4 separate regions of the Mus musculus genome follow, and regions 1, 3 and 4 are each reported to be linked to region 2. The links are microRNA targets in miRTarBase. Many come from high-throughput screens and were not tested one by one. Region 2 holds a microRNA gene; each other region holds the end of a gene's coding sequence.
The links. Region 2 holds the annotated microRNA mmu-miR-139-5p (UCUACAGUGCACGUGUCUCCAG, at 2,171-2,192, shown strand). A microRNA usually pairs through its seed, bases 2 to 8, with sites in the 3' UTR of a target mRNA and lowers its output. Matches are read on the target gene's strand: a 7mer-m8 pairs with bases 2 to 8, a 7mer-A1 pairs with bases 2 to 7 and ends in A, and an 8mer does both.

Region 1: miRTarBase lists Pfkl as a target of mmu-miR-139-5p. Seed matches in the 3' UTR shown: 7mer-m8 at 2,347-2,353.
Region 3: miRTarBase lists Zfp11 as a target of mmu-miR-139-5p. Seed matches in the 3' UTR shown: 7mer-m8 at 2,340-2,346, 7mer-m8 at 2,198-2,204 and 7mer-A1 at 1,861-1,867.
Region 4: the mRNA of Stx17 is a reported target of mmu-miR-139-5p. Seed matches in the 3' UTR shown: 7mer-A1 at 1,057-1,063.

The regions. Positions count from the first base shown.
Region 1 is chr10:77,985,447-77,988,602 of GRCm38, forward strand. Pfkl (phosphofructokinase, liver, B-type) reads right to left here. Exons shown (of 22, transcript NM_008826.5): 22 at 1,501-2,911. The coding sequence ends at 2,764. Among named protein-coding and RNA genes, the nearest start is that of Gm51807, 2.6 kb to the left of the region's middle.
Region 2 is chr7:101,473,212-101,476,211 of GRCm38, forward strand. Mir139 (microRNA 139) reads left to right here and starts at 2,165; the gene lies at 2,165-2,232. The region is part of intron 1 of Pde2a (phosphodiesterase 2A, cGMP-stimulated); the gene reads left to right.
Region 3 is chr5:129,653,752-129,656,907 of GRCm38, forward strand. Zfp11 (zinc finger protein 11) reads right to left here. Exons shown (of 3, transcript NM_172462.4): 3 at 844-3,156. The coding sequence ends at 2,701. Among named protein-coding and RNA genes, the nearest start is that of Zfp11, 15 kb to the right of the region's middle.
Region 4 is chr4:48,181,316-48,184,471 of GRCm38, reverse strand. It overlaps Stx17 (syntaxin 17), which reads right to left. Exons shown (of 8, transcript NM_026343.2): 8 at 1-2,973. The coding sequence ends at 2,734. Among named protein-coding and RNA genes, the nearest start is that of Mir1958, 30 kb to the left of the region's middle.

The DNA.
Region 1 (3,156 bases), not on the chromosome of region 2:
CCAGGCCCACTTCCTCGTTCCAGGATGTAAGATTCTGGAAATGCCCAGCAGGTTCCCTCAGGACCACACCCCATGCCTGTAACGTCCTAGCTTTCCATCCTCCTGTGGCACACTCACATATACCCCAGGGATGGGCAGACTACCAGCTGCACCGAGCCCCCAATCCCTGATCCCCACTCCCAGCCTCTGCTAAAGCACAGCTCATATCCCTACCTGGAGCCGAGCGTGGGACATTCAGCCACATCTGGAATCTTCCAGATCCAGCCCCTTGAGCAGAACAGGAATTGGCCTTTCAAGGGTTTGGTGCCCTCCCATCCAACTCACAGCGGGGAGAGCTAAGGCTGGAGGTGTAACCCCCTGGAAGGGTGGATGTGGTGCAAGAGAAGAGAGGAAAGAGATGGCTACTCTGTACCTGAAGCCATTGCTATCACCAGGGCCCAAAGCCACCTTGCAGCCAAGCAGGTAGACCCTGAATCTAGCAGGGGTTCCATACTGAGAGTTGAGTCCACGCTGATGACAATGACCCGACTCCACCTGGCCATGAACAAAATGAGCCACACAGGCCCACCCTTCATGCCTCCCCATTGCAGAACCCCCTGTGTAGCAGACGCCCAGACTGAGCAAGCGGCTGGGTAGGTGCTGCTCTAATCTTCAGATGTCCAACTATAGCCTGCCATGTCCCCAGGCCCTGCGCTGCTTTGGGGGTGGAGGGAGAACACACTAACAGGTATGGACATTGATGGTGACTCTGGAACAAGCACAGGTGTCTCCCAGCAGTCCTGAGAGACCTGAGCCTGTCAATTAACCTGGAGAATTATTAAGAGGCCTTACGGTAGCCTACGAGGCTATTCCAGGAAGGCTTAGTAAAGGGGGAAGGCCCTCTCCAGGGACTGCCTCCGCTAGCAGGCAGCCCAGATATTGGGTGCTCCAAGTAAAAGGCAGTGCTGCCTGCCAGCCCTTCTTGCTGCTGTTACCACCCTCTGCTGACATCAGACACAAACTCTGACTTTCCAGTGTGGCGTGAAGATCCTCCAGGCCCTCAGCACTAGAATGGAGCTGCTGTGAATTTAGCAGCTCCAGGGCTCTCAGCCTCCCCAGCCAGCAGATGGCTGTTATTGGTGAAGTCTGGATAAAGATGGCCCTCACAGGCCCATAGGGAGTGACACTATTGGGAAGTGTGGCCTTGTTGGAGGAAGCTTGCTACTGTGGGGTGGGCTTTGAGGTTTCAGGAGCCAGGCCTAGTGGCTCACTGTCTTTTCCTGCGCCTGCAGATCCAGATGGAGAACCGTCAGCTACCTCTCCAGCACCACATCTGCCTGCATGCCGCCATGCTTCCCACCATGATGGTAATGGGCTAAACCTCTGAAACTGTAAGTCAGCCCCAATGAAATGTTCTCCTTTATAAGAGCTGCTGTGGCCATGGCGTCTATTCACAGCAATAAAACCCTAAGACAATTAGGCTACCAAGCCCATTTGTGTAAGCCAGTCTGGCGAACCCACTTTTACAGTATATATACATTCTATTGGTTCTGTTTCTCTAGAGCCCTAATATACAGGCCTTGTTGCCATGTGCTCAAGACCAAACCCTCCAGGGTGCTGTGATATGACACTTACACTCCAGGACTCTGCTCCCAGCAGCTTTGGGGGCTCCAGCCAGATGAAGCAGCTGGGTACATGGCCTGCAATACCCCCACAGAAGCCTTACAGTGACCCATGGGGGGAGACGTCTACCCAAGGAAACCACCGCCCCAATGCGGCCTGCAGGTCCACAGAGCCAAAGTCACAACCCTTGACCTCCATACACGGAGAAACCAGAAACAGCCTCCACCTATTGTAAATATTGTAAAAATCCAGGCACTGTAGAGGATGGACCCAGCAGCAGCTCACGTAAGAAACCCTGATAAGGGGCTTAGAGAGGGATCTGAGGTGGGGCTGGCCAGGGCTCAGCCCTTCATAAACTTCTCTGAGGAGCCAACGTCCCGACCTCAAGAACCTCCTGAAGGGCAGCAATCAGCCAAGAACACTATACTGACAATGACAGTCTCCTCTCCAGACCGGGGCACATTGCCCACAGGCCGATACCCCAGCCATTCCAGGGCAGGTATGGGGCTCACACGAGCCTCAGTAGCTCTCTAAGGGCTCAGGTCTCCCTAGTCTCTTCCCGGGAGGGTTCCCTAAATTCCAGTCTTGTAGAATAGCTGTGGGCAGGACTGGAGAGATGGCTCAGCGGTTAAGATCACCAACTGCCCTTCCAGAGGTCCTGAGTTCAAATCCCAGCAACCACATGGTGGCTCACAACGGTCTGCAATGGGATCTGATGACCTCTAATGGTGTGTCTGAAGACAGCTACAGTGTACTTATATAAATTAAACAAACTATAGCCTTGGGTAAGGTTTGCACCTGAGTCCTGACAACCCTCTCCCTGGACTCCTCTGGTCATGTTGTCCCAGTGACCATGCTCTAGACAGGTGACTTTATTTCTAAAAAAGTGAGGCTCTTTTCAGCCGTGTGGTGAGGCAGCCAGCTGGCCAGTGAGGGAGAGGCAATGTGGGTCTGACTGGAAGGTAGGGGCCCCACAGGCTCTCTGTCCTGGGGGTGGGGGGAGGGCTAAGGGAAGAGCCCCAGAGCAGCACAGTAGACCCCCACATCCCTCAGCCAGCCACGGGCTCCGAGTTCCCCTTGAGTTCCCCTCGGTGCTGGGATCTGTGGCTAGCACTGGGAGGGTGAGAGTCCGGGAACGCAGGAACAGTAGTGACAGTAAGCTCAGAAACCCTTGTCTATGCTCAAGGTGCGGCGTGTGACGTGCTCCAGCTCCCCAGACACATAGTCTGCCATGCTGATGCGGTAGTGTGCCAGCATCTTCAGCATCAGCCGCAGATTCAGCCACCACTGCTCCCGGGGCATGCGGTGCCTGCGCAGGTCAAGGTTGGATAGTTAGTTACAGAACTGAATCCCGAGATCCCTTAAACCCCGAATACCTAGTCGCCATCATGACCAGGGTATACAGGGTACATCTGGGTGCCCCATTCCTCTGGCTGGGAGTGAGGGGAAGTACTTCTGAGGTAGACTCAGATGCAAGAGTCACAAACCCTCCCCAGACCACCCTGTGCTGGCCATTGAACGCATGGACAAGACTCCTGTTCTTCAAAGCCTGCT
Region 2 (3,000 bases):
TTTCCTTGTTTCTGAATTGGTCTCTGTCCCTGTATGTCTCATACTCCCATTCTCCTGGGATTTGGGGAACAGTTGGGACGAGCCAAGTTGTGAGGATGGAGCCAAATACAGTCAGAGGAGGAAGCAACATGAGGCTGTGGAATCGACATACACCAAAGAGACACACCAAGACAAGCAGACACAGAGGTCCCTGGGGAGGTACTGGGAGGGCTGGGGACACTCAGGACCAACCACCAGGCAGGTACCATGGGACACTTAGTTCTCTGCCCAGCACCCCTGGTCAGCCCTCCCTTCCTGCCCTTCTGTAAGCCATACATCGCCCTGTGTCAAGTCAGTGCCATTTAGCATTTATTATCTATTGTGGGCACAGGAGGGAAGGGGACAATGGAAGAGCGGGAGACAAGAGGCTCCACCCAGGCCTAGAGAGAGACACCCAGTCCCATTCCAACATTGGAGAGATGACAAGTCTATCCCTTGGCCAAAGCAGGACTTGAGAAGTCCAAAGCCACAGGAGAGAGGGCCTCGCCCCATGCCTTTAGGGGAGAACCTGGCTATTTTTTTTTTTTTTTGTCTCCTCTGACCTTCCATACACCCCATACCAAACTGGGCATCCAATGTCATGACACCTGAGGTCTAAAGACGTTGGTCTCATAGGAATTCCCAGGAGGACTGGGGTGGAGACAGGTGTTCCCCATGTAGATGACGTCCTTGAATAAGAGGTGCTGCTCACCTGCTCTTCCTGGGACCCTAGGCTTTTCCCACTTGGAGATGATCCTGAAGAGCAGAAGGTCTCCTGGCTTGCCAGATACCTTGAAAATGCTGTCAAAAGTTCTCAGGGAAAAGCATCCTCTCATTCCGTGGGCTGTTTGTCTACGTCTCTCATCACGCCAGACTTGGGATACAGAGACCGCCATTGTCTCCCCACCTGGGACCTCCAGGAACTCCACTTCTCTGCTCAGGAGGTCGCTGGCCTCCACCATTTCTGGGCTCTCATTGGAGACTAGATGATGCTAAGAGCAGAAGAGCTATGGGACAATCAGGATGCTGTCCTTTCCCCCAAAAGCTCCTGGCCTGATGGGGGAGCCAGAGAGGGCAGTGTGGCAAGGTGATGACACACAGCACCGGGAAGGAGCATCCATCAAGTTGTGAGGGTCCGAGTGAGCAGACCATCACTGGCTCTCTCACCCACCCACTCTTGTCTGACCATATCTTTTCCTTTGGCATACTTCCCTTCCTGACACTGGTCCAGCTAGTCACTCGACATTCCTTTCTCCTGAGTGGACCATTATGTCTGACTTGCAGAGGCTTCTAGGCTTGCTGGGTCAAGCTCTGGTCCTATCTCCAAGGCCACATGAGAGGTGGGGTCGTAGACATTCAGGCTCATAGAAACCGGAGCAGGAGGCCAGCCAGTTCACCGAGACCCTTTCTCGGGGTATTGATTCCCAGAGTCTCTTCTTTCTTGTACACCCTGGGGAACAGTGTACCCAAGCTTCCTTGATGCCAAAACATCTCCCCAGACACAGCTCTGAGTCACAGATACTCACCACAGTCCCCAGTGACTGTCCCACTGTATTCAATTCAACTCTCATGGTCACAGAGGCAGGAAGGTTAGAGACCACAGGAAACCAAGATGACGGGAATTGTGAGGAGACTATGGTGACATGTATGGGAGCTGGGCCTTACTGGTTAGAAACCTGAGGGCTATGGGGACAGAGTGGTCCTACTGTGTGGAGGAGGCAACTGAAGATGGGTAGGGTGAGGAGAAGTCAAAGTCTGACCCAACTCAACTCATCTTAAAGCTTCCAGGCCAGGGCCATCACCTCCTCCCGATACTGGGCTCTTGTCTCCCTCCTCTTTCCATTTCCCTAATCTTTCCCTTCTAGACTGGAGAGTAGACTGTCAGTCTGAGAGGACTAACAACCCCTGCCTTCCCACCTGGCTGCTTCTCCTCCTTCCCACTCTCTATCACCACACTTGGCCCTGGATGGCTTTAAAGGGGTCAGTACAGTGGGAGTGCCTGGGGTAGAAGTTCAGCCTGGTTGGGGAGGAGTGGGAGGTCCAGGGGGGGACCAGCTATGGTAAGGGATGAGAGAAGCCAACAGTTGTCCCAAGGGTCCCCCTCAGGGAGTGGAGGTTCCCCTGGGAGGCGCCAGGACAGGCGCAGGTGTATTCTACAGTGCACGTGTCTCCAGTGTGGCTCGGAGGCTGGAGACGCGGCCCTGTTGGAGTAACAACTGAAGCCAGAGTCTTCGAAGGGTGGTGGGCTAAGGGGGAAGAGGGCATGGTGGGCAAAAGAAAGGGGGTGGGGGAGAGAGAAAAGGAGGACAAGGGGGCCCCTTCCTGTAGTACTTGGCTCTTGAGCTGCAGGTGGCTCCTTCCACGTGCCCCTGTGTCACCAACTCAACGATGGCCACAGCTCCTTTTCTCCTTTCTCACCCTTATGCCTCCTCTCCTTGGGGATCTTTCTTGTGGAGTCTCTTCATGTGGGGGTAGCATCCAGCTGTCCCCATGGCTACCCTCACTGGAGAAAGGATCTACCTTCCCTACATCCCGGTCTTTACACCCCTGTGCCTCTAAAGTGGGGTGAGTGAAAGGCACGTCTCAGGCCAGCAGCAGCTAGAAATTGGGGAGTTGGTAGTGCAAATTCATCAACCTCTTCCCAGACCAGCTGATGCAGAAATTCTGGGGTGGGGACAGCACTGTGTATTTCAACAGTCCTCCAGGTGACTCTGGGCCATGCCGTACTTTGGAAACCACTGAGGGACATCTGCAACCACAATCAGTACCTGAGAAAGGTACCTTCCCTTCCCCATAGCCAGAGTCACTCAGGGCTTATGAGGTGGCTCACTTGGCATCTGGGTTGCCCAACATCACCTAGTCTCTTTCCTTTCCTTTTGCTTCTGGCCCAGCTCAGCCTTGCTACTGGGAAGTCGTGGATGCAAGTGTTAGCACACACAAGCAGCTCTTGTAATATTTTCAGGTGACAGGTCTGTTAGAAAC
Region 3 (3,156 bases), not on the chromosome of region 2:
GACTGTTCCAGTCCAGGGAGTCTCCCTTAGTTACATGTCTCACTACCCTCTGCACTCTTCATGTCCCGCCACTATACCCCACGACCTGTAGAGGCAAGCCACTATGTCAATTTCTCACACACACACACACACACACACACACACACACACACACACACACACACACAACTTCACTCTGGTTGTCTTGTTGCCCCTATCAGGCACACCACCACTGTTCTTCCCAAAAGCATCCCTGGTCTTTTTATATTCTGCCAGCTACTAACATTCCTTCTGGTGGTTGGATATCCCTTCTCATAAAGTCCCAACGACTATCAAAGGTATGAGTCCACCCAAGTTCACTCTAGAGGAAACAGTAGTGGTCTTCCTTATGGAACATAGGTAAGGGGTTACTTATAGTGTGGGTGTTTCCCGCTACAAAAGGTTGCACCAGAAAGTTTTTAGGCAGAAAGTATAATGGCTTTCCCACAGCAACACAGATGAAGTCCCTCCTCCCAGTCATCGTTCTGACCTATGACGTATCCCCTCCTCTAGGCTGTATGCAATTAGGGCAAAACTCCATATAAGAAGCAGAATGGAGTACTGTAAACTCAGATGAGGGTCCCATGACCTTCCCCACACTCCTCCTATGGATGGTCAGCCAACAAACCCAGTTGGGCTGACGCTTTGCAAGCTCAACTACTGGAGTTTGCAGTTGATTGGCTCAGAGGACAACCATGATCAACAAATAGCCACATAAACACAGCCATAAACTTTAACTCTTACATATGCCCTTCCTGGTTAACAGACAGAGAACCAGGAAGTCACTATGCTAAACAAAGAACCATGAGGCTGTTTCAATGTGTTCCATTTAGACAAAATAGACTTTATTCCCCCAAACAAAAGCTTTCTACCTCGCCATAAATATCAGCTCCCTTAAAGTGATTTTTGGTTTTTAACTTTCCTTTAATTTTTAATCATTACCCACGAGCAGAGAGAACTTTTGTACTTTCACTCCTAAGGTTTGCCATGGGATTTTACGTCACAGTCAACACAAACGAATACCAACAATTCGGTGTTCATTGTATATATCCAAAGGGGTGATGTGTGCATAAAAACCATGTGACAAAAAACCAAATGTATAAATGACTTGAGCTTCAGAAAGCTAGAACACTTTATTATACTTTCACATCCTTTGTAATTTCTGGGTTAAGTGCAAAAAGGGTGGATTAAAATATCACATACACAAAAAAAATCTCCAAATCTATACATCTGTTTGAGGGATAAAGACATTGGGAACAAGAACTACCAATCACTCAGTATTTCTCAACAATATATTACTAAGATCTGTATGTACATGCTACGGTAAGGCGGTTTGATCTCTGTGACAAAATAACATGTCAAACAACACATACCAGAGATAACAAGTGAAGAACCATTCACTCCATGTATGTACTAAAATAAAGTCTATACATAATACACAGTTCTTCAAAATCAATTCTATGCTCTCTAGAAAAAGAACGGTTTAAAACTTCTCAGAAAGCAGGATTATTTTTCTGCTGAGATGGCCTGAGGGCTGAGCTTTGTATAGTTTTTAAAGTGAGGTTACTTAGTAAATTTGGATGTAAAACAAATTCCATCCTTTCAAAGATGAGTTCAAATCACTCTGACACCTGTGATATAGTCTTTCCACCCATTTATTAATGATAAGCAGCAGTTCAAAATTTTGCCACATTCTACATATTTGTAAGATTTCTGCCCAACGATAATTTTTTGTATACACCAAGTTTTGAGGTATGGGCTGGGCCTGGGGGTGCATGTCTTTAGTCCCAGTGCTCTGGACACAGAGGCAGGCAGATCTCTGTGAGTCTGAGGCTAGCCTGGTCTACAGAGTGAGTTCTAGGGCTATTACAGAGATCCTGTCTGTAATAAAAAGATTTGTTGAGGTATTAGTGAAATGTCAATCTTTTCATTTTATGAGGGAATTTGTAGTATAGTGTTGGACTGTTCTGAGGGTTAGACATAGGACAATACTCTTCCCAATATGAATTTGCTACTGTCCAATAAAGAAGAGCAGTGATCGGGCTGTTGAGATGGCTCAGGGGATAAGAGCACTGACTGTTCTTCCGAAGGTCCTGTGTTCAAATCCCAGCAACCACATGGTGGCTCACAATCACCTGTAATGAGATCTGATGCCCTCTTGTGGTGTGTCTGAAGACAGCTACAGTGTACTTATGTATAATAATAAATAAACCTTTGGGCCAGAGCGAGCAGAGACCGAGGGAGCAGGGCCAACCAGAGCGAGCAGAAGTCCTAAATTCAATTCCCAACAACCACATGAAGGCTCACAACCATCTGTACAGCTACAGTGTACTCACATACACAGAATAAATAAATAAATAAATCTTAAAAAAAAAAAAGAAAAAAGAAAAGCTGTGATCAAAGGCCAGGCCATGTTCTCACATCTGTAACAGTTTTCAACTATGGGATGTTCAGTACACACTCTGAAACAGTACCACACACGACTTAAAGGTCTTGCCAGACTCCTTACACCTGTATCGTCTCCCCTCATAGATGGGCCTTTTTGGTGCAAATGGAAGGTTCAGCAGTTGTTAAAGACACTAAGTGCAAGAACAGGGTTTTTTCCCTTTTATGAAACACTCGGTAACAACTGTCTTCCTAGTAAGGCTTTGCTTATTATACACATACACATATACACAAATTCTATACACTGTTTGGTGTCTGGAGAGTGTGAGTTTCCTGGTGTCGTTTAAGGCAGGAGGAAGTAATAAAGGCCTTGCCACATTCCTTACATCTATAGGGTCTCTCTCTGGTGTGGATCCTCTGATGTCGGTTCAGCTGTGAGGAGAAGCAGTAGGCTTTGCCACACTCTGTGCATTTGTATAGCCTGTCTCCAGCATGGATCCTCTGGTGTTTAGTCAGGTATGAGGAGCAGCTAAAGGCTTTGCTGCACTCTTTACACACATACGGTTTTTCTACAATATGGATGCGCTGGTGCTTAGTAAGGTATGAAGAACAATTGAAGGCCTTGCCACACTCCTGGCACACATAGGGTTTCTCCCCGGTATGGATCCTCTGATGTCGGTTCAGCTGTGAGGAGAAGTAGTAGGCTTTGCCACACTCTTTACATTTATAGAGTCTGTCTCCAATGTGAATCCT
Region 4 (3,156 bases), not on the chromosome of region 2:
CTCTGAGGCCCGGTTACCCTTTCCATAAATAACTGGCAAACTGCTTGGGAAACACCAGTTCTTCCTTAGGGAAGGGTGTTTTCTGAAAACTGAGGGTGGTAATCCATTTGTAGACTGAGACTGGTTTTGTGGGTTGAAGTTAGCATGTTGAAGAAACAGAACATCAGAATGTACTGCACACAATGGTAAACATTTTTCATGGATACACGTTCAATCCTAATACGTTTTTTACTGTGGGCTACATCAAAATTTCAGAGGAATTATCAGATTATAACATCAAAAAGTCTTTAGGGGGACTGCCTATACTAATATGAAGTCTCTACAAATTTTAAGACATTAAAATGATTCTTTTTAACTAGTTGAAATAAAAATAAGACATAAATCATAGAGATGATAAATTTAACTAGACACTATGGGGCATATTAAATTCAATTTTAAGATCATTTCTGTGTCATATTGACTAATTTATACGTTTAAGTACTTTTATATCATTTATAGTTGATTAAACACTTCTAAGAAATTTCCACAAAAAGTTGGCTATTGGATTCTATTGTGGAGAAATGAAAAACAATTTCTCAATAACTTTAAAGTATAATGAAATTTTAAAGAGGACTGTAACTTCCTTAACCATTACGGTGGCTAGAGTCAAAAGCCCAATACTGATGGTTCATTAACATGCCGATGGTTCCCACATTCCCACACTGGCTCAGCGAAGATGCGCGGTCCCAAGGGTGCGAGCTTCATATCCAAGCCTCAGCCCTGTTTCTTTGGCTTCCATGTGCTGAGGCTGTTATGGCACTTACTGATGGCACTTTGGGGATTCATGGAATTGAGTATTAAGTAATGAGGAAGATGAAGTAGACCATGGGAGACTAAAGAATTAAACAACACTTCTTATCCTCACAATACTAGCTAATCAGGATGGACTGGCTGTATCGGAATTTCCCCGGGGCCAAAGTTCAAGAATCTTGTTTTAGCTGGGTATGGCAACACACCTTTAATCCCAGCACTCCGGAGGCAGAGACAGATGGATCTCTGAGTTCAAGGCCAGCCTGGTCTACAGAGAGAGTTCCAGGACAGCTAGGTCAGGACTATACAGAGAAAACATCTTGAAAAATAAAACAAAACAAAAAGGAATCTTATTTGAAGTAAAATCTGGATGCATTCTGAATGCCCCCTGCTCAGGTTTGACATGCTATCTTAAAGGAGCAGCAAGAACCAGAGAACAAAGGATGACAATAAAAGTAATTACTTAATGCCCAGTGTGTTTGGCAATATTTCAGGATCCGAAAATTATTCAAATTTTGTTTGTTATTAAAGTCTTAAGACAGCGGATAAGAAATAAATACTCAATACTTTCCGATCTTTTAATACGGTGTAGTTCTTTGTTTCATAGGGATGCACTGGTAAGACTCACAAAGCATTGAAGGGAAGGAAGGAAGTTATAACACAGAGGGAAAGGTAGCAACCCACAGAGGCCAAACATCAACTCAGCACTTAAAAGAAGCTAAGAGGTAACCCTTCGGCCCCTGACCCTGTGCTCTGGCTGCTGGTGCACTCTTCTCAGGAAGAGATGAGAGTTGCGGGACCAGTGGCTTCTTCCTATTCCTTTCTTCTGAATCTCAAACCTTTCTGTTTTGAGAGAGACACGGAGTTGAAGTGGACATGCCTGCTGTGCATGCCAACTGTTGGGTTAGCACCACAGATCTTTCCTTGGGTCTGAATCATGAGTTTTCCCATCTAGAATGTGAGAGAGGTTAAGCGTGACCACTGCGAGGACAGCGGCAGGAGGGGAGACGGCCTGGGAAAGGGCAGCAGTGACAGATGTGAGGTAGAAAGCTCCTTCTTGGACGCCCAAGAAGACTGAGGGGCGGCAATCCCTGGAGGCAGCAGGTATGCCAGCCCCTTCTAAAGTGCCCTGTGATATGATCTTGTACTCACTCCCCTTAACCTAAATAACGTTGGAAATATTTAAATTTTCTTTTTTCAACTAAAGAGATTGTAGAGATTACAGGTAGGGGTAGCTAGAAGTGGAAAACTATATAAAAAGGCAGATTATGAGGAAAATCCTTATAACATGGGTAGGAATCAGAAGAGTAGAATAGACAGTTATCTGAATCACCAGCTGGAAATGGGCTTGGTGGCTGGTTTAGTAGGTCTAGCATTGAGGTTTTGTGCTCCTTATCTGGAGAGGCAGGAAAGACTTCAGAAAAAACACCCATGTCACAATGAAGAAACTGTAAAGAGAAAATGGGCTTCTCTTTCTATTTTATAGTGTTAATTTCCTTCCCCAGAAAATACAGATGGGTCTAAGTACAACAGCCCTCAAGTCCACAAGTAGTTCACCCGTGCCCCCTGTTGAGCGGCAACATCCCTACCTGACAGAGACTCCTGAACTCGAATTCTGTTCCTCCCTATAGGAAGAAATAATTGACAAATACACTGACCTCAGGTGTCCACTACATGTCTACACTTCTTAGATCCTTAGTTATGGATCCAGTTTTCACATTTCCAGGCCTAACCTTTGCTCTTTGGCAGTCTTTAAACTTGACCTGACAGACACCCTCTGGCCAGGCTCCTCCACCTCTAAAATCTCCATTAACACCCAGCTAACAAACACATCCACTCATGGTGGTTCAACACTGCATGGACAGGGAGAGCCACTTCCTAACACTTCCAGCAACAGCAACTGCTCCTTAGCTCGGTGCACAGCAGCAGCTGGAAGCTTGGGCTTTAACTGCGTTTTTTGTCACTTTGGCTAGGGAGATCTGGACAGCTGGAAGTGAGCTTCTCCATCATTTTCTGTTTCCTTCTTTGTATCAATTTTCCACCTGTGAAGCCTAACACCCCACCACCAAGTGCAGCTGCAATTCCTGCCACTTTGAAGCCTGCGAGGAGGCCGATGGGACCCCCTACCACTCCTCCGATGAGTGCACCTGCCACAGGCAGAGCTGCCAGCTTGTATTTTGCAGCCTGTAAAAAAAAAAAAAGATTCAATTTAGAAATTGAGTTGAGAAAAATCTGCCTGTGGTGATGTGCGTTTTCCTCTCATTACTCCTGGCAATGCCTCTTTAACTCTACGTTCATAATTAACCTCAGAGATTATTCTTGGAGGGGTGTGTGTGTGAATGTATTCCACAGGTACTGCCATTGCTC